4 linked regions of the Caenorhabditis elegans genome follow. The protein of the gene in region 1 purifies or fractionates together with the protein of each later gene. This does not show direct contact. Each region holds a gene or a part of one and is shown on either strand. Other genes may lie near its edges.

The links.
Region 2: the proteins of meg-1 (region 1) and pptr-2 purify together in Caenorhabditis elegans (affinity purification with western blotting, with the first as the bait; one study listed by BioGRID). This does not show direct contact.
Region 3: the proteins of meg-1 (region 1) and pgl-1 purify together in Caenorhabditis elegans (affinity purification with western blotting, with the first as the bait; one study listed by BioGRID). This does not show direct contact.
Region 4: the proteins of meg-1 (region 1) and pptr-1 purify together in Caenorhabditis elegans (affinity purification with western blotting, with the first as the bait; one study listed by BioGRID). This does not show direct contact.

Annotation. Positions count from the first base shown.
Region 1 is NC_003284.9:13,926,519-13,931,593, reverse strand, and holds meg-1 (Protein meg-1), read left to right. Parts: upstream 1-1,959; 5' UTR 1,960-1,980; coding exon 1,981-2,119; intron 2,120-2,169; coding exon 2,170-3,252; intron 3,253-3,295; coding exon 3,296-3,536; intron 3,537-3,581; coding exon 3,582-3,860; intron 3,861-3,910; coding exon 3,911-4,051; intron 4,052-4,097; coding exon 4,098-4,125; 3' UTR 4,126-4,558; downstream 4,559-5,075. UniProt on the Caenorhabditis elegans protein: P granule component, which acts redundantly with P granule component meg-2 to promote P granule segregation during embryogenesis, and germ cell proliferation and differentiation in larval stages.
Region 2 is NC_003283.11:11,026,964-11,032,758, reverse strand, and holds pptr-2 (Serine/threonine protein phosphatase 2A regulatory subunit), read left to right. Parts: upstream 1-1,934; coding exon 1,935-2,079; intron 2,080-2,250; coding exon of another isoform or gene 2,251-2,296; intron 2,297-2,838; exon of another isoform or gene 2,839-2,954; intron 2,955-2,974; exon of another isoform or gene 2,975-3,115; intron 3,116-3,371; coding exon 3,372-3,437; intron 3,438-3,476; coding exon of another isoform or gene 3,477-3,488; coding exon 3,489-3,581; intron 3,582-3,627; coding exon 3,628-3,941; intron 3,942-3,984; coding exon 3,985-5,046; intron 5,047-5,102; coding exon 5,103-5,246; downstream 5,247-5,795.
Region 3 is NC_003282.8:6,974,111-6,978,890, reverse strand, and holds pgl-1 (Guanyl-specific ribonuclease pgl-1), read left to right. Parts: upstream 1-1,572; coding exon 1,573-1,680; intron 1,681-1,747; coding exon 1,748-1,879; intron 1,880-1,926; coding exon 1,927-2,073; intron 2,074-2,117; coding exon 2,118-2,476; intron 2,477-2,524; coding exon 2,525-2,865; intron 2,866-2,911; coding exon 2,912-3,054; intron 3,055-3,100; coding exon 3,101-3,272; intron 3,273-3,316; coding exon 3,317-3,840; intron 3,841-3,884; coding exon 3,885-4,274; downstream 4,275-4,780. Other genes in the region: him-3 (HORMA domain-containing protein), read right to left, coding at 355-641, 689-861, 908-1,121, 1,164-1,365. UniProt on the Caenorhabditis elegans protein: Guanyl-specific endoribonuclease which cleaves the phosphodiester bond in single-stranded RNA between the 3'-guanylic residue and the 5'-OH residue of adjacent nucleotide, resulting in the formation of a corresponding 2',3'-cyclic phosphate intermediate.
Region 4 is NC_003283.11:16,355,627-16,360,521, forward strand, and holds the start of pptr-1 (Serine/threonine-protein phosphatase 2A regulatory subunit pptr-1), read left to right. Parts: upstream 1-1,894; 5' UTR 1,895-2,025; coding exon 2,026-2,186; intron 2,187-2,236; coding exon 2,237-2,307; intron 2,308-3,211; coding exon 3,212-3,510; intron 3,511-4,479; coding exon 4,480-4,703; intron 4,704-4,895. UniProt on the Caenorhabditis elegans protein: Probable regulatory subunit of serine/threonine-protein phosphatase let-92 which negatively regulates the insulin receptor signaling cascade composed of daf-2, age-1, akt-1, akt-2 and sgk-1 by promoting the dephosphorylation of akt-1 on 'Thr-350'.

The sequences.
Region 1 (5,075 bases):
GAGGAATCACGGAGATCGGCTGAAAAGTTTTACTCAAGAGAATACATATAAATCGTGTTAATGTATCTCACAGTTTTACTGGTGACAAAGTAGAATTGGTCCCAAACAAGCTCGAACTCCACTGGTGAAAAAAGTAGTGGAGATGCAGACGCAACTGAAAATACAACCATTATCTGCAGGATTCGGTAGTCGGAAACTACCTGTAATTGGTTAAAATATGGTGTTTTTTTTTGATGACACGTCAATCAAGTTTTGACCAACAGCACTACTCACAGGAACACGATCGTATTTAGCTTTCAATCGCATGAAGATCATGAACGATATGACGATGATTTGAAGAGTTGAAATCGCATGGAAAAGGAAGTTGGAGACGCGGAGGAGAATGTTAAGAGCTGATGAGTGGAAGTTTGGAGCAAACACAACTTCCTCAAACCATTCAAAATTGCCACAGATGATACCAAATTTTGAAAGAACTACCGAATTGATTGTGATGATCAGGGTCTAAACTATGTTTATTACTGTTTGAGGAATCAGACGAAATTGACTTACATTGATGAGAAAAAAGTATCTCACGAGATGTGGAACATAGAAGATTCCGTTACACTTGATTGCAACCATAAGGTACAATAAGGTAGCGATGAACCCAAAAGTATCCATGAATGAGATTAATATACCGAAGCATATAGCCAACATCATTTTGGGCAATGGAATGAGGAAATCAGCGCTACCATAGATGTGAAGCTCGGCAGTGCCCCGCTTTTTTCAGTTCCCTTGGGATAGTATGAGTTGCTAGGAGCAACTGAAAAATGAAGCACGGGTGATAATCACGGAGAGAAACAAATACTATGACAGGAGAATTCTGTCATTAAGAGTACATCAATTATTGTTGAGAAGAGTGCTGATGCTAGAAAAGTATAAACAAAATTAAATAAAAAAGAATCACATTTCTGAATAACTTTGAAAACTTGCAATTCATGATTTAGTAGCGAAAAATGATTGATCTTAGATATACATTTGAACAAAGCATAAATAAAATCATAAGAATTCATATACTCCCGAAATTTATGATTGGGATTTTTTTCAGAATCAAGACGACGTTCTAGGGATAATGTGTAGCTTGGTTACATTCAACCAATCTTCTGAAAAAGCCAGAAATTTTAATTTATGTACATGACTATTTTGAATACTGATACGTTTGCTTCATACCATCGATTTTGAAACAAATGTTTTTAAATATATTGTTACCAAACTCTGATCTTTTTTGTGTGATAAACGTGAATTTGTAGTGAAATAACTTTTAAAAAATTATGTGTTATATAAAAAGTTAAAGGCGGGTAGCTATAACGAACATGTATTGAAATTATAAAAACTTACAAAAATTATCAAAAATGAGGATTGTTTTTAGACTGCAGTGGCCCAACCAAATTTATTCGGCATTGATAAGTTTTCTGACTTTTAGACAAAAATCATTAAAAGGTTTTTTTTTAGTTTTAATCAAAATATAAAAATAATTGTTTGCTTTTTTATTCTTTATCTTTATCAGTCTTTCGTGCAAAGGTGCTTCCCGATTTATCTATTAATTTACGAGAATGGACAAAAATTTTTATAGTACTTTTTTTCTCATTTATTGTCCAAATTCAAAGTTTTATTTGCGTATTTCTAGCGTGATTCTTAAAGAGCAAAATAGTAGATCCACACAAAATTTGTTTTGACCTACACCTGCCCGCTCTTTTTTGTATTGTTTTGTCTGCGCGCCGCCACGTTTCGTCATGCTGCGCGTCTCTTCCCTCTCTTCTCTCATTTCATATCATTTCATTCAGTCTTCGTACCATTACTGGTGGACAGTGGTCCGCTCTCTTTTTCATCTGCAGTTATTGCGAAATCTTTTATTTTCTGTTGAATTTTTTTTTTGTTTTTAGCCAAATTCTTGTAATTTTTCCACAATAATTCCATTTTTAGAGATTGATTTCTTGAGCGGCGATGGATAATCGTGGTCATTTTTCTTCAAATGGGAATTTCCCACCGCAAGGATATCACCGACGTGAGCAGTCCCAAGAAGGAATGAGAATCGGGAATCATCACGGACCGTTTTCTTCGGGCAACATGCGTAGTATTGGAGGTAAAAAAAAATTAAAATTCAATAGATTTATTAAACTGGTTTTTTTTCAGGCTCAGCTCAAAACCAGCAGCAACGTCATTGGACAAACATGCTCAATGGCTCAAATAATGTTGAGAATTCTTGGGTGTGCTTCTCTGGAAACACGTCTCTTGCCGATGATCCAAATGTTCTCTCCAATTTCTCTGCGTTGGCACAACAAAGAGTTAACCATTTTGATACAATTGTGCAGGAAAGGGACAATAGGAATGCGAGTTTCCTGAATGGTTCAGCAGTTGGAAATAACCTGAACACTTCGTTTAGCGTTTTTGGCAACTTGCGAGGAGGAGACCAAGATCATCGAGTTCTTTCCGATCACACTGGAATTTACACTGGTTTGGGATCCACTGGACAAAACGCTGTTGGAACCGGGATAAGACTGGCCGCTGATGTCGCGAACGGCAATTTCTTGGAGCAGAGAGCACCTACTGCCATGGGACACAACCAAAGCTATTCTGCACTGAACCAGTCATTAGCACCAACACTCCTTGACCAATACAATCAGGCACTCCTCGACCAATACAATCAGTCTTCACAAATGGCTCAAGGACGAGGATATCCGGCTCCAAATATAGCTTACGGTCTTCAAAATGCCGGTTTTCCAGCTCCACAAATAGCTCATCGGCCGAATACTCAAAATGCAGATCCTCAAGCGATGAATATGAATAACCGTTTAAGAGATCATACCTTCCAGATGCCACATACAAACGCTCAAGTTCCAATGAGTTCTCTGCCAGGTCTATTTAATTTATCCATGAATCACGGCTCCGGGAATCAACAGTTCCAAATGAATCAAAGCTCATCAGGCCCTGCACCTCAGTTGCCTAATCTGTCGGAAAGCTTCCAGATGGCGCAAGGGAGCTCTCAAGTTACAATGAGTTCCAGACCAGCTCACTCCAACACTTCTATGAATCACAGCTCGAGGAACCAATACAACCACGTGGATCAACGCCCATCACGCCCTGCACCCCATTTGCCAACTCTGACAAAGGAAGAGGAAGCTTTCTTGGAGACTCCAGATTTTGAACAATTTGGAAGACAATTGTACAACTACTTGCTTCCGGGAATCCTTCCAAATGGTGCTGCAGACACTTTCAGTAAGTGGAATTTGTGTGTTTATGTGATTTAAAATCATTTTAGGTGACGCTCCCAAGCATCAGTTGCTGAAGCTGGCAAAAACACTGAAGCCGATGCTCTACGACTACTGGCGGAAGACGATGCAAATGCAGAATCGTGGAGCCAACATCAACATTATTCAGTGGATTATTGATTTCAACGCCAAGTTTGCTGCTCTCAACAGTTCAGTTGCCAAAGCCTCAAACTCATCGGATGTTCTCAATCAAACTCTTCCAACTGCGGCTGAGGTTTCGGATGTTGCCAGGTGCATACTCTGCCTGTTGTTTGTTTTCTATCCTACTTTTTTCAGAGAGGATGCTTCGACTTCACAGCCATCCAAAAGCCGATCCATGTACATTCGTCCCGCTGCCAGTCTTGATAATACCTTGGAGACACTTGATGAGAATTTGGATTCTTCACAAAGTCATGCCGGGCCAGTTCCAGCAGCTTCAACTAAGCCCAAAACACCATCCTTTGAGAAGATGATTAGATACAGTGGCATCAAAAAGCGAAGCACAATGGACATGGATAATTTTGTTCGTATGCTTGATGAAAAGATCAACTTTTCGCCTGAGCCAAGCACTTCAAGGTATGTTAACCATAATAAACGAATTCCGATGTACTATTATTTCTTTTCAGTGATATTGCCAGCTCTGTGAAAGGCTACATGTCTCAATCCTTCCTCCACCAACAAGATGACGAAGCTCCTGATTGCACCAAGAATGTTCATTCTGAAAGTGATTTGAAACAAGCTGAGCCACAAGAATCGGACAAGCAAAGGTGAGACTTGTGAACTTATATAAATAACAAGCAATTTTTTTTTCAGTGACAAGGAATTGCCAAGCAATGAATGAGACGTTGGACAATTGGTTCGCCTACAAGAACACACTTACTGTGCTGCCATTTTGTACCATAACAATTCTATTTTTACCATACTAACCAATTTCACAATTACAAATTATATTTTCCTGTGATTTTCATCAACCATCAACCCATCTTGTGCTGTATTTGTATCTCATAGTAGAAACCTCCCAGCAACTAATTTTGACTTTTGGCTCGCCTGCCAACATCAATCTTATTACCCAATTTTGTACCATAACACTCTCTATTTCTACCACACTAACCAATTTCACGATTAGAAATTCTTTTTCCTGTGATTTTCTTCAACCATCTTGTATTGTACTTGTATCTCATAGTGCTCAGTTTCAGTCTTACCGGTTTTCCAGTCACTGTCCAGTACAATTTCACCGACTATTGTTGTTTATTTCGATAAAAATATTTTGTTCTAAATGTTTGAAATTTGTTGTAAAAACTGGAAATTACTAATCCAAACATATATCTTTCAAAAACAAATACCCATTGAATTATTTTGGTTTATTTTAAAAGTCATACCGTTTTTCACATGATGAAGATATTGAGAAAACGAGTTCAGGTTTAATGGTAGGACAAACTTGTAAAGTTCAATTATGATGTGGCTTGATTCGGTGCATTTTTATATTTTTCAAGTGATCAACCTAAGACCTCATTTGATCAACGAATGCTCGTATTTAACTAGGTTAAGTAGATAAAAACGTGTGGATCACTTTTTTAGTTAAAAGTTTCTTGCTGAAACGTATAGCTTTTGGAGCATACTTATTGGAAAAGTCTAAATAGTCGCCGAAAAATTGAAAGCGAGTATTGGCCAGCACTGTTTTAAATAGTTCAACAGCAGAAAATTGCACACCAATAAGACTTCAGAGAATTTTATTTTGAGAAACTCTGAACTATGCAATTTTTTCTTGAAATCCCTACAACTCTAATTTCT
Region 2 (5,795 bases), on another chromosome or scaffold:
CAATAGACTATTGAAGACGGATGAGCATTATTTCCGCACGTAAGGGACTTTGGGATTTTACGCTGGTTCAATGCCATGCATATACTCACAATAGCCAATTCCTTTGTGCTCTTTGATTTTCAAAACAGAAATATGATGCCAATACTGGCGCCCAGACCCCGGGACAAGATTTCATTTCTTCAACTAGTTTCACCCTCCGTCATCACGTGTCAGTTTTTAACGATTTCTAACAAAAATGTATGTTTTTGTGTCTAGGAACGGCAATGTTGAATATTTTGTTTTTCTAGAGTCTTACTTGTTTCAGCTTCGATGAAACCCGTTTTTTTAAATATAATTGAAAAGTGGATAAAAATTGGTTCATTATAATTAGAGATAGTTTAAAACAATACCCTAAAAATCCCAACAGTTAGAAGGGACTTATTCATTAATTAGTTGCTGGCTAAGTTTTCTATTTATATAATTACTCTCGAAATTTATCAATCGATTCTTGGACTTTTTTGTTCCGCAGACGCCGGCGGAGTTTACAAGCGTACGATGTGGTTCAACTTTTAAAGCTTTATAAATGGGGCATGTATGAATATTTCGAATTCTAAATCTATAATATTAAAACACAAACGCATCTAAATTATTGGTGTCGATAAGTATTTTTCAAGCGGTGAATCATCTGTGTTCACACAAATAACCAGATAAAAATGAATAAAAACATTTTAAGCTTGTTTAGAAAATTAATTAGTTTAAAACTTGATTCAAGACGGCACGATGCTTCTGACCGTTTTTATCCTTTCTAATTTATTTTTTTTATCGTATTACTTGCAATGGCATCACTTGATCACTGAACCTTCAAGGAAAAATAGAATGTTAAATTCAGAAAAAGTCTTAAATCTAGAAAAAAAAAACTCGGTGCACAAAAGTACATCAATTTTTTGTCTGTGATCAGCTACAATTCATTGCATATTCGTATAGAATATATTAAAAAAAGTTCCTAGATTTATTACTCGTTTTTTCACCAGTTATTTCTGCTTTCTTACGAAAACGCCTTTTCTCATTTTGCTTGTCAAAAAACACGCGATATGTGAGCCACAACAGAATTCTAATTGCTTGTTTCTATGTTGGGGGCACCACACAATTTCACCTGTTTTTCAGCAATCCAGCACGACCGCTATTTTCTTTGCTTCATGGGTTCACTTTTGGCAAACCCATAAAATATTTCGTATACTTATATGTCAAGTATTTGTATCTTACGAGTAAGACTGCCAAATTCTTCCTGCTCTCTTTTTTTCATCAGAATCTGATCCTTGACATCGTCTACTCTTTTACTCTCAAAAGAGCAGCAGTAATTGGAAATTGAAGAGGATGAAGCTCGATCTTTAAGGAAAAAACGAGAGAAAAGAAGTGGGCTGGTTAATCGAAAATTGCGCTGAAAAAGCAGAAGACGAGCTGTAGGAAAAAACGACAAAGCGTGGGAAGAGGGACGGCGCCGTTTGCTCCGCGCTTTTTATTTTTCGTCTTCCGATTTCCGAAGTGACGATGGTTTTTAAGTAAAGACAGATGATTTTTCTCATTCATGTAGTGATGTCATTTTTTGTTAGTTAGAGCCACATGGAATTCCATGGTTTTGCATTCCATTAATTCCTCTCCTACAGTTAATCATACTGCTTGAGATTGCATTTATTACATAGGTTACTGTAGTTTTCTAAAAAACAGATTTGGGTGCATATGTGCATGTTATCATGTGTGTTCTCAGTTTTTCCCCGTTGCTTTGAAAACATAATATCTCTTGTCAACAACGTTTTTCCACTTTTGAAACAATGAAAAATGGTCACTTGCTCAGTTTGTTGTCCCTTGTATTCTCTTTTTAATTTTTTAAAGGTCTCTTCATACTTTTATTGAATTTTTCATGTTGTTAATTTCAGGCGGTCGGCTCCGCATCCGCAATGTTGAGATCAAAGAAGAAGGACAAGGAAAATGGGAAATCAGAGAAAAAGGACAAAGAGAAGGATAAGAAATCAATGAAAGATGACGGTGCTGGAAGCAGTAAGGCATCTACAATTCCTACGATCCGAACAGAAGATGTTGGAGGTAAATTAATGTTTTGATTATTCGGGAAAGATGATAACACAAAATTTTAAAAAAGTCAATTTCAATAAAATCTCACGTGAATCTATATTCTTCCACGGTTCTCCGAGAGCATAATTTTTCATCATTTCTTTCTAACCATCGAGTAATTTCAACCATCAACCAAAGATAGCAATGAATAAAATGCCACAGAGATCAAAGAAAAGACGACAGAAAACGAGTAAGTAGTCTAAATTATTTGAGAACATTTAGGAGTAAGAGTGGTTCCTATCGTAGAGTTTTGAGAATTCTTCGAAACGAGCGGAGATCGTTGTGAGACCCTGTGAAGACAATACAGCGAGCCTATAAAGTTTAGATTACGGCGTGTCGAATTTTATCATGAAAACATATACTATTCGGAAACAAAAACAACATGATTCGAGATTAAGGTTTTGATTAGAGTTTTCTTCAGTAAATAATTTTTGAAGCTGTCCTCCCTTTCAGCATCTTATAGTTCTCGAGGTAGGCAGGTTTTTGACCACTTGCATTTTTTTGAATAACTGAAATGGATGCAAAGTATAAATAAGTAGAAATGTATCGGATCTGAAATCAAATGCACTACATTTTATGAAGATATTGAGTGAAAATATTTATCAGTTAGATGGGGGAGGAACAAGCCATCCAACCAACAACAAGAAATCTGTGAGCCCTCAAGGCACACTATTGATGTCCAACTTTTCCACAAACTCCTTCAAACTCTTCTTCTTTTTGCCCCCCCCCCCCCATTTTCTTTATTTCTCACAGAAAAAACGACCTTCTTTCTTCTCTGCGCCTGTCTTGCTCCTTTAGATTTCTTTTCTATCATCAATTTACCCTACTCTTCTTCTATTTCTCGCGTTATTTTGTATCACGGAAGAAGGTATTAGAAATAATTCGAATAGGATAGTTGGAACGGATTAGGACTCCAGCTCAATTAGTTTGATTGTGTTTTTTTGGTTTGTTACGCCTTTCCTGTAGTCTTTTTGCAGCGCATACCAAAGAAAAAAACATTTTAGTGTTCTGGAGAAAATATTATTTTGTTCATAGTAGATATTTTCTTACAAACGCTTAGACATTTCGCTATTTCCCCAACTTCACGAAACAACTTTTGTAGTGTACATTTGAATTTGAATTTCCCGCGTAAATGCTCGACGAGGCCGCAGAAATCGAAAATGGGATAGTTAGTCCACCACTAGTGTACTCCTCTCGGATAAATTTTTTTTTGAATCACAATCATTGATTTTTCCATTTTCGGCCCTCATATTTATCATTTCTAGGAGATATGATTCCTGCAGATGCACCACCACCAACAAATATTGGCCGAACAAACACGTACGGAGGAGGTTAGTGTTTAAACGAAGACTAATTAACTATAGAGACAGATTTAATTTCAGGGCCAGTGATACCGCGAAGAGAGCGCCGCCAATCAAGTAGCATGTTCAACATTTCACAAAACAGAGAGCTGCAAAGACTTCCAGCTATCAAAGGTAATAATGTTTTTTTTAATTACCGTATTGATAAACTCGTTTTTAGATGCGGATCCGAGCGAGAGAGAAACACTGTTCATTCAAAAACTTCGACAATGCTGCGTTGTTTTTGACTTTGCCAATGATGCTCTCAGCGATTTAAAATTCAAAGAAGTCAAACGGGCAGCTCTAAATGAACTCGTCGACCACGTTTCCGGAGCTCCAAAAGGATCGCTATCTGATGCTGTCTATCCAGAAGCTATCGGCATGTTCTCCACTAATCTTTTCCGTCCTTTGAGCCCACCGACCAATCCAATTGGTGCTGAATTTGACCCCGATGAAGACGAACCAACATTAGAAGCTGCCTGGCCACATCTGCAGGTAATATTTATTTTCTGCTCTTATTTAAAGTAAATATTTTCAGCTCGTCTACGAGTTTTTCCTGAGATTCCTGGAGTGCCCCGATTTTCAATCTCAAGTTGCAAAACGTTACATTGATCAAAATTTCATTCTTCGTCTTCTCATGATTATGGACAGTGAAGATCCACGTGAACGTGACTTTCTGAAGACAACTTTACATCGAATTTATGGAAAGTTCCTCGGACATCGTGCTTACATTCGGAAGCAAATCAACAACATTTTCTACTCGTTCATCTACGAAACTGAGAGGCACAACGGGATTGCTGAATTACTCGAGATTCTAGGTAGCATTATCAATGGATTCGCTCTTCCCTTGAAAGAGGAACACAAAACTTTCTTGCTCCGAGTTCTTCTTCCGCTACACAAGGTCAAATCATTATCTGTATATCATCCTCAACTCGCGTACTGTGTCGTACAGTTCATTGAAAAAGACTCATCACTGACAGAGCCTGTAATCAGTGGGATGCTACGCTTCTGGCCAAAACAACATAGTCCCAAGGAAGTGATGTTCCTGAATGAATTGGAAGAAGTCCTCGATGTGATAGAGCCGAATGAGTTCCAAAAAATCATGACTCCATTGTTCTCACAAATTGCTCGCTGTGTCAGCAGTCCACACTTCCAAGTTGCCGAACGAGCTCTCTACTATTGGAATAATGAATATGTGATGTCATTAGTAGCGGACAATGCTCGTGTGATAATTCCAATAATGTTCCCTGTTCTTTTCAAAAACAGCAAGTCACATTGGAATAAAACGATTCATGGACTTATCTACAACGCCCTCAAGATGTTCATGGAAATGAATCAAAAACTGTTTGACGAGTGTTCCCAAGCTTATCAGAAAGATCGAGTTCAAGAAAAGACATTGAATGAAGAAAAAGAACGCATCTGGAACAATATTGAGAAACAGGCAATGGGAAACCCGCAATATGTTGAAGTTAAAGCACTATTTGCTCGATTTAATCCAGATGAAATCATCAGCTCGCGTCAGCAGAATGGAGTTGACGAGAATATGAAGACTTCAACTGTGCTTAGCAAGGATGAAATTCTGAAAAATGCTGTAGGAGTGGTAAGTTACAAAAACCTAGAAATATTTTTTTTTTGTACAATAACGAATCATTACAGAGCTCGATGAAAAACGATATGGATTTCGGACCCAACCACAAACAATCCGATTTCCCTCCAGATGAGCAAACGACGAGAGCTTTAGGCGAGTACAAGCGTCACGATCCATTTTTGAAGAAAGTGACTAGCACCGACGAACAGTGATGCAGAAGACTTCAACGGGTGCCAATTTCTCCATGTTGTGCCGGGTTTATTATACGATGATTCGACTTCCTTACCCAGTTTCCGTTCCTTTCTTAAAATATTGACCATTCCATGACCCTTATCACCGTTTTATTGCTCTCCAAAATTGCCCTTAATCACATCTATGTTTGCGTACCTGTAAATATTTCGAAACTTATTTCAGTTTTATCAATATGCACCATAAATTCCATCTCTCCTCACCATCATCGCAAATCCAAATGCGACTTTTCATTGTGTAATAATTTCCCCCATTTTGGTAGTGATTTGGATTTAGATGTTATAAATGAATCGAGAAGCCATGTGAAATACATTAAAATCTGCATAGGAATAATCATGGGAATATATATTAGGCAGAAGGTTTACGAGGGGTTTGGCTCATTTCATCCAAATCCTTCTTTATATGTTCTTTTTCGAATGCTAACCCCACTCTTTGCACATCAATATGCACTTATGTATGAAATACACGAAATGAGACGAAGGAGCATTATAAGCGTTTAGGAATAAACAAAG
Region 3 (4,780 bases), on another chromosome or scaffold:
ATTTTTAACACCCAGCCAACAGTGCAAGTAATGTAAAACTTATTTCAAATGAATATTCACTTCTCATTTGTCCGAATTCCAACACTGCTTCAATGAAATAAATTTATCTGAACTGGATTTGAATGTTTGGTCCATTTCAAAATAATTTATTACGCTACTTTTTTCTAAATCTACGAAACACCAGACTTACAGTGAAAGAAAAATAACTCAATCAAACAGATGAAACTATACGTGAAGAAGATAGATTGATATCACACAAGAGAAGACAAAAGCACGACAATCAATGAAATTATAAAAACAATGGCTAAAAATATAAAACAAGAGAAACATTGCACATGAGTGAAAACTTTTCGACTAGTCCTTATTCTTCTTCGTAATGCCCTGACTGAGACCGTAAGGGGAATCTCTGGAAATTCGTCCCTTCCTTTTCGATTGGTTTGCCATGATTGACATATTTGGATTGAGTGTGGTCGTTTTATCCAGATCGAAGTCTTGCTTCAAGTATTGTGAAGCAGCAAGCATTTGAATTTTGTGATGACCGCCACACACGATTCCAATAGATGCTTTCCTAATATCCTGATTCAGCGTATAGAACATAGGACTCAGCAGATAGCCTTCGGGTGTATAGTCTTTTGGAGCTTCTTAAAATAACAGTTAGAAATAGACTAAAGCTGTGAATGTAACCTACTTTCAGTGTACGAAACACGGAAACTCGCGTCGGACCCTTGAGGAAGCGGCTCCATTTTCTTGATACACCGGTGAAGTTTCTTGATTGTGCTTGCAAACATTTGTTTCGTGTTGTCGGTATCAACGAATTTCGCCTGTAACAGTTCTTGACTGCTTTCGTTCGTGTCGATTCCGCTGAAAACAATTGAAAACGAATAATTGAATAAGACCAGCAGCTTACTTATTTAGAGATACGAAAATCTCTCCTTCATCTCCATAAGCAAACCTGAACGCAAACACTTCATTAATGTCTTCCTCGTTTGGCTTCTTGTAGAACACGATTGCGAACTCTCGCAAATAGCCTTGTTGAATCGCATCTCTCAATCCGTCGAATGTTGAAGACACACGCTTTGCGGCAGGAACACTGCTCTGGAATGCGGTGACCAACAGTTTATCTGTATAAAAATATTTGTGATACATTGTAAAATAAGCCATACCTATTGTTCGAGTTTTGAAGCATTTTTCGTCCAAAATGCCACGGCGATCGAGAATGAAGGCCGAAGCACATTTTATGTAGCGAAGCGCAAACATTTCAGAATTTTTTTCAATCTCTAGATCAACGGGAAACGTGGCCTTCCACTGGCTGGCTATAGGAATTTCAGACTCGCGGTGCTCAACAATCTGCTCTTTCGTCGCCATCGCAAACCTACAATTACTGAAATATCATCGTGAAACAAATTAAAATGTTTAAAAAATAATATCTATAAAATCTATAACAAGTTAAACATATTATTTAATTATAAAACCCCGCATTGATTAAACATATTTTGATTTGAAAAAAAAAACTAGAAAATAGGTAAAATAAATCTGGAAATAGTTCAGAAACTTAGAAATTATTAAAGGCGCATGGAAGTTTCAGATCTACGGGTCTCGAAACGAACAACTCGACGCGAACGCGGAAGTTGCAATTTCGATCTCGTCCCAATTTTCTTTTCCGTTTTCTTACTTTTTTGGGTAAATTTTGCGTTTTTTTGAATTCTAATCTCGAAAAATTTTTTAAAAATTTAAATATTTATTTCAGTTTCATCCATTTCACATGGAGGCTAACAAGCGAGAAATTGTGGATTTCGGTGGGCTGAGATCCTACTTTTTCCCAAATTTGGCCCACTACATCACGAAGAATGACGAAGAACTGTTCAACAATACATCTCAGGTTGGACTATAATATTTAAAGACCGATTTTCTATTATTCAATTTCAGGCCAATAAGTTGGCTGCTTTCGTGTTGGGAGCTTCCAAAGACGCTCCTGGAGACGAAGACATTTTGGAGATGATCTTGCCGAACGACGCTAACGCTGCCGTTATTGCTGCTGGCATGGACGTTTGTCTTCTTCTCGGAGATAAATTTGTAAGTGTGAATTAAACTTATTGTAATCAATTATAACGTTTTAGCGTCCGAAATTTGATGCTGCTGCTGAGAAATTGTCAGGATTGGGACATGCTCATGATCTGGTTTCTGTCATCGATGACGACAAGAAGCTCGGAATGCTCGCCCGTAAGGCCAAGCTGAAGAAGACTGAAGACGCTAAGATTCTTCAAGCTCTTCTCAAAGTAATCGCAATCGATGATGCCGCCGAAAAGTTTGTTGAGCTCACGGAACTTGTCAGCCAACTGGATCTGGACTTTGATGTTTATGTCCTAACTAAAATCCTCGGACTTATCTCTGAGGAGACTAGCGACGAGGTCGACATTATCCGTGATAACGTCGTCAACGCATTTGATAGCTGCAAGCCGTTGTTGAAACAGTTGATGTAATTGTTGTCCTTTTCAAAATAATTCGATTTTTTTTTTCAATTTAGGTTGGATGGTCCGAAATCTGAACCTGCCGATCCATTCATTAGTCTCCTCATGGATCCACTCGAAGAGTCTGTTGGGAAAGTTGTGAACCATATCGCTCAACTTTTCGAGGAAGCGAGTAAAAATGAAGGAGACGAGTCACTTGTCTTGAGATCTCAACTCGGATATCAGCTCTTTTTCCTTATCGTTCGTTCACTTGCAGATGGAAAGCGCGAGGTTTCCAAGAAAATCCTCTCTGGGATTCCTACGAGTGTCAGAGCGGAAGTCTTTCCAGGATTGCAAAGAAGTGTCTACAAGAGTGCGGTGTTCCTCGGCAATCACATCATCCAAGTTCTTTTAGGATGTTAGTATTTTCGTCTTTGTTTACTTTTAAAATCTAAATATTTCAGCTAAGAAGTCTTTTGAGGATTGGGATGTTGTTGGAGTCGCGAAAGACTTGGAGAGCGCCTGGAAAAGACGAGCCATTGCGGAACTTATCAAGAAGTTCCAAGTCTCAATTCTAGAGCAATGCTTCGATAAGCCCGTTCCACTGGTGAGTTAATGATTCTATAAACATTACTTACATGACCGTTTTTCAGATTCCTCAGAGTCCACTAAACAATGATGCGGTGATCGATAATGTGAATAAAGCTCTACAGTTTGCACTGTGGCTTACAGAGTTTTACGGATCCGAGAATGAGACTGAAGCGCTGGGCGAGCTTCGTTTCTTGGATTCCACTTCAAAAAATCTTCTCGTCGATAGCTTCAAGAGTGAATATTCCTTTTTTTATCTCCTGTTAACTTTTTAATTTCAGAATTTGTTCAAGGAATCAACTCGAAGACTCATGTCACTCGAATTGTTGAATCACTGGAGAAGTGTTGTTTGTCCGATACACCAAGTGGCAGAAAGAGCAATGTGCAACCATCCACTTCCCAACAGCAGGATTCCGCCTACACGAAAGAGGAAATGACGACGGTTCACAACACATACAGCGTAAATACTAAAGCTCAAGTTCTCAACGGTCTCAGTGATACCAATTCTTCCGGGTTACTTGTCGATTCAAAGGATTCACTCAGTCTTCAGGAGATTTCTTGTGACGAAGTGGATTCTTCGACTTTGCTAAGCTCATCAAGAAACATTGGAGAAGGTGTTACTGTAAAAGCGGTCGATCCTGTCCCAGAAAAGGTTAACGATGCACAACAACAGCAAACAGTTAACGAGATCGAGATGGCTTCGGATGCCAATCAAGATACTTCTTCAAGTGCTTCGCCAGAAGTAGCGCCAAGTTTTTCCACCGATGGCTGGGATTCTCCAACGAAATCAGTAGCTCTGCCACCGGTATCGCGTTCATCGTTTCAGAATTATAAAAATATTTCTTTCAGGGCATGCAGCAGATAGATGAAGAGGAAACCACAGTTGCTGACAAAGATTCTACACCACAACCACAAGCTCGTGCTGAAACTGCATGGGGGTCAGGCGACGCTACTCCAATGCCTCTTCCTGCCCCGACTAATCAATACAAAGTCAGTGGATTTGGGGAAGCCAAAGTTGCAAAAGGATTCGGTCAATTTGCTCCCACCAGTTCAGCTTATGGAGGAGGAGGTGGTCGCGGAGGATATGGCGGTGGAGACCGTGGAGGCAGAGGTGGATACGGCGGAGATCGTGGAGGTAGAGGTGGATACGGCGGGGGAGACCGCGGAGGACGAGGTGGATACGGCGGAGATCGTGGACGTGGTGGTTACGGGGGTCGTGGTGGACGCGGAGGTTTCTAAACTCCAACTATTGAATGTTTAATTTGTTTTTTAAGTATACACTTCTTGTATACTTACACGTTTTACGCACATTATTTATTCTAACAATCTTGTTGTAAAATCCCTAAAACCTTGACTGTCATTTATTATTTATTCAACCTGTTTTTCCTTGTTCCCGGTAAATGTTTGAACTAGATTGTTGCAAGAAATTAACTCAATTAATTACACGTATATCTCTTTCTGCGGCTTGATGAGAAAAGTGATGTCTGAATCGACGGTGCCGAATGATTGGTGGATCATAAAATTAACAGGTGGCACTGCATGCATTCTTATACAATTTCAACTGATCTTATCATACATTTACGCATATTAGAGTTGTAAATCGTTATGAGACATCTGCATTCGAACATAACAAATACCGTATTTCTTCTATTAATATGGCTGCAATACTATTTTTCGATGGTCTTCCCGCTTGCAATACTAATAGGGAATGCAAGACTATTAGGGAGTGCAATACTAATTTTCAG
Region 4 (4,895 bases), on another chromosome or scaffold:
TTCGAGAAGACTTTTGTTCCGTATAAAAAGCCTTTTTAAAAATAATTTTAAGTCATTTCTCTAATTTTCAATCAATTATTTCTCGGCTAATTTTTTGTGTAATTTCTTCCATTTTTTAGATATCAGTGCTACTATAAACTTTGCTTTCGCGGCGAGACCCATCCCACTAAGCCTCTGCGCCTTTAGGTAAAAGTTTCAGAAGTTTGCGTTTTAATTAAGCTTTTTCTATTCATCTGAAAGTTGTGCAAATTCTCACTTTTTCTCCCCGTATTTACTTCCACCCCCATAAACTGCCCCTCCTCTTCATTTTCTTCACGTCTCCGTCGTCTCCAGTGGCCTGTGATGGCCTGTGTGCGTATATTATTCCTTTACTTCTCTCTCTCTCTCTCTCGGTCTCCCACACTCTCCGGCCTTTCCGTGTGCAAATGCGTGCGCGAGTGCGCACGACGTGTCTGCGTCTCTCGACGTCTTCTCAGTGTCTGCATCACTGTGCACTCCGGAATGCACACGAACTCTGCTCGCGCCGCTCACAAACGGCGCTCATCGGGTGAGAGATTGTCTTTTTTCTCTCGATCAACTAACTCTCTCTGTGGCTGGGCAGAGTGAGAGAAGACAACAAAACGTTGACGTTTATACCTCGTGTGAGAGCGAGAGTTTTTTGTCTCTTTTTTTCAACTTTTTCACTGAATTTATTAAGCGATTTGGAACATTGTTCGTGTTTTTTGTAGGGAATAAAATATAATTTATGCGCGAACTGCGTAGGTCATGCGCATGAAAAATTAAAGGATTTTGCTTTTTTAGACTCAAAATGCGCTCAAATAAACGAATTTTGTAATGAGACTACTCTTAAATTTCCCGAAATTTTTTATGGAGGCTTCTTTTTTTTAATTCAGACCTCGAAGTTCAAAATTTCGAAAAAACTTGATAATTTTTAAAAATTAGACAAAATTTTCGATTTTTCCAAAAATTTATATGTCGTAGCGGTAGGAAATTAAAATTTTTTCCGACACGAAAAATTGGCAAAGCTAGTTTTCCAGCTGGATTTTAGATAAAAATGCCCAGTTTTATCGATATTTTCAACCGCCATAGGTAAAATTAAACGAAATTCGTTTATTTTGGCACATTTTTACACCAGCAAAAACTGTCACTCCTCTCTCAAAATTTATCAATTTTCCCCGCGGTTATCGCTAAAAGTGAGCAAACCAGCAAGAAATACAGAATTTTCGGTTGTTTTATTTTTTTTTAATTTTTAAAGCAGTTTTTACGCTGAAAACTCTGAAACTTCAACTAAATTTCGACGAAATTCAGTTTTTCCATCTAAAAAAACAAATAAAAAACAAATTCGCAAGCGTGCTCCATTGATAAATTTGCGGAGCGGGAATTTGAATCTAGTTTTTCTTGTTAAATGGTTTTTTTAATCAATTTTGTGATAGTTCTCAAAATTTCACTTTTTCTGTGTATTGGCCCCATTGCCCATTGCTTTGTTCATTTAATGAAGGCATTTTTGCAAATTTTTACCACAAGGAAGCTTTAAAAACTAGAAAAAACGCGGCAAACCACCGATCAGTAAGTGCGCTCCAATGTAAATCGGAGATTTTCTCGTTTTTTAATTTGTTTTTTACGTTAAATCGATGTTTTGTCTACAATTTGAGCGTTTTTCCTGCGTTTTTTTCGGTTAAAAATTGAATAAAATTAAATAAAACCCATTTCAATACATTTTATTCCCGAATCTGATCACTTGTCGACCTACATTGCCATTTACTTTCACTCTCTTCTTATCATAATTTCGATAACCACTGCCTATCTCTTTTACACCATTCCGCGTTAATAAAAACCCTCTCTCTCTCACTCTCTCGCAATAAAAAATCAATATATATATATATACATTTTGCAGAAGCGCCCAGAAATCTCTCTCTCGCCGTCTGCTTCTCTGCTCCCTCCTACACGAAGTTTCAACACTTCGCTCGAACACAACCAGGGCGAGAAGACGTTGAAGAAGATAAATTCTTTTAATCAAAAAAAAAAATGCACGGAAGCGGGCACAGTCTAACGGGCGCTCCGCATCAAATTCCGCCGCCACGGACACAGGGAGCCGCCACCGGTGGCCAACAACTCTCGGCGACAGCTAATCAATTTGTTGATAAAATCGATCCGTTCCATAATAAAAGAGGAACTTCTAGACGATTGTGAGTGGCTGGTTTAATTTATTTTTATCGATTTTTCCCGATATTTTCAGGCGCATCAACAACAGCAGCCGATATAATGTTGATTCGGCTCAAGAACTCGTACAATTGGCGCTCATCAAAGGTGATTTTTTTGGATTTTCTAGATGAAAAACCGAAAAAATTTCGAAGAATTGAGTAAAAAATAGCGAAAAACTCGCATTTTGCCACCCTGCCGCAGATTTTGGCAGTTTTCAGTCGATTCCAGGCAAATATTCAGGGAAAATGTCCAAAAATGCTAATTTTAGTGAAAAAATGTTGAAAAATGCTCGATTGGCCTGAAAATTAGGATAATTTTCGTTGAAAAGTTGGAAAATAGCCTACAATTGTCGGAAATTGTCCCAAAAGTGTGAATTTCGACTTTTATACAAAATTTGTGATTCTTTTTAAAGTTTTTAACGAAAACTTACACTATTTTCAAGTAAATCAACTTTTTTATGTTGTATTTTTACATTATTTCGTGAAAATTTACCTACATCGACGGGAAAACGCGTTAGAAATCGCGAAAATCTTCAAAATAAAGGAATATTTCGATGAAAATCGATTTTCGGTCGCTGCAAATTCGTAAAAATGGAGTTTTTAGTCTTTTTTTTAAAAGATTTTTTGACAAATCGGATAATTTTGAACCCAAAACTAAGAAAATTTGGTCTTTTTGAGCCAAATTTTGAACTAAAATTCTGAAAAACGCCGTCTGAAATCTCTAAAATCTGCAAAAATTGCCGATTTCAAATTTAGCCTTTTTTCAGAATATTTGAGCCGAAATTGTCGGTTTTTTTTTGAGCCGAAATTGTCGGGTTTTTCAGTGAAAATTTGCCGAAAATCCCTGCTAAAACCCCGAAAAAAGGCCTAAATCATCAATTTTTTAAAAGAAATTCAATTGCTGCTGCAAAATTTGAGATTTTCGCCATTTTTATCGAAATTTGAATTTATTTTGAGCCTTTTAAATCAATTTTACCGCTAAAAATCTTTAAAAACTTCAATTTTTCCAGATACTGCTGCAAATGAGCAACCGGCTCTCGTTATCGAAAAGCTCGTCCAATGTCAGCACGTATTCGATTTCTATGATCCAGTAGCTCAACTGAAATGCAAAGAAATCAAAAGAGCAGCTCTAAATGAGCTCATCGATCACATTACATCGACAAAAGGAGCAATTGTTGAGACAATTTATCCGGCTGTCATTAAAATGGTTGCCAAGAATATATTCCGTGTACTTCCACCATCAGAAAATTGTGAATTTGATCCAGAAGAGGATGAACCGACTTTAGAAGTCTCGTGGCCACATTTACAGGTTGGAAATGCAAGAAAAACCCGAAAATGGCTCCAGGAAGCCGAAAAATGACAAAAAAAAATCGAAAAAAAAATGCAATTTTCAGAAAAATAGAGCAAAAAGTGCATTTTTCACTAATTTTTGGTCCAAAAAATTGACTTTTTCGACTGGAAAATTATTAGTTTTCCTTTTGGCAAAAAAAAACCCCGATACATCCTGAAAACATCGAAAATCTGAAAATTATAGCAGAAAACCGCGTTTTTTTGCTCCAATATACCAAAAATAGCCCCAGTGCATCAAAAAATATTGACAAAATGACCTAAAAACTCTGATTTTCTCAACTTTTCCGTGTTACAGATGGCATTTGGCCACTTTTTGGACCGAGAAAGGCATCGAAAGACGGAATTTTATAACAAAATTCATTAAAAATCGCTCAACAGCTCATAAAATGACATTTTCAGCTGAAATCTCAAATTTTGCCAACTTTCCCGGTGTCACAACGGTCGGAAATTAAAAAATTGGCGATTTAGGCTGAAATTCGACCATTTTTCGGAATTTTCAGCAATTTTTGATTATTTTTATTACAAAAGACCCCTATTTAAAAAAATCAATTTTTGCTCTATTATACCCAAAATGGCTCCGGGCCATCAAAAAATGCTGAAAATTCGTCGAATGTCAGCCTAAATCGCCAATTTCTCAATTTCCGACCGCTGTGAAACCTGGAAAGTTGGCAAAATTTGAAATTTCAGCTGAAAATATGTAATTTTTCGAGATTTTGAGCGGTTTTTAATGAATTTTGTTATGAAATTCCGTCTTCTATGGCCAAATTTCACCTGAAACTCAGAAAAGTCGACAAAATTTGAGTTTTTAGGCCATTTTCTGGCCAAATTGGGAGCTAAAAGATGCTTAAAATCATCAGAAATCTGCAAAAATTCACTGAAAATTGGAAAAACTGCCCTAAAATCAAAAAAAAAAAAACGAATTTTGCAGCTTGTCTACGAGCTCTTCCTGAGATTCCTTGAGTCGCCAGATTTCCAAGCTTCAATCGGTAAAAAGTATATTGATCAGAGATTTGTGCTCAAGCTGCTCGATTTATTCGATTCGGAGGATCCACGTGAACGAGACTTTTTGAAGACGGTTCTTCATCGTATTTACGGAAAATTTTTGGGCCTTCGGGCTTTTATTCGCAAACATATCAATAATATGTTTTTGAGGTGAATACTGGATTTTTTTTTTCGCTGAAAAATCGCTAAAAAATGGCTTAAAAATGAGAAAATTGCAACGAAAAGCTCAATTTTCGGCAAAAATTCATGGATTTGGACCATTTTTGCAATTTTTGATATTAAAATTGTCATATTTGTGGTGTTTTGGGTGAAAATTTGTGATTTTTCTTTGAAAAATACCGA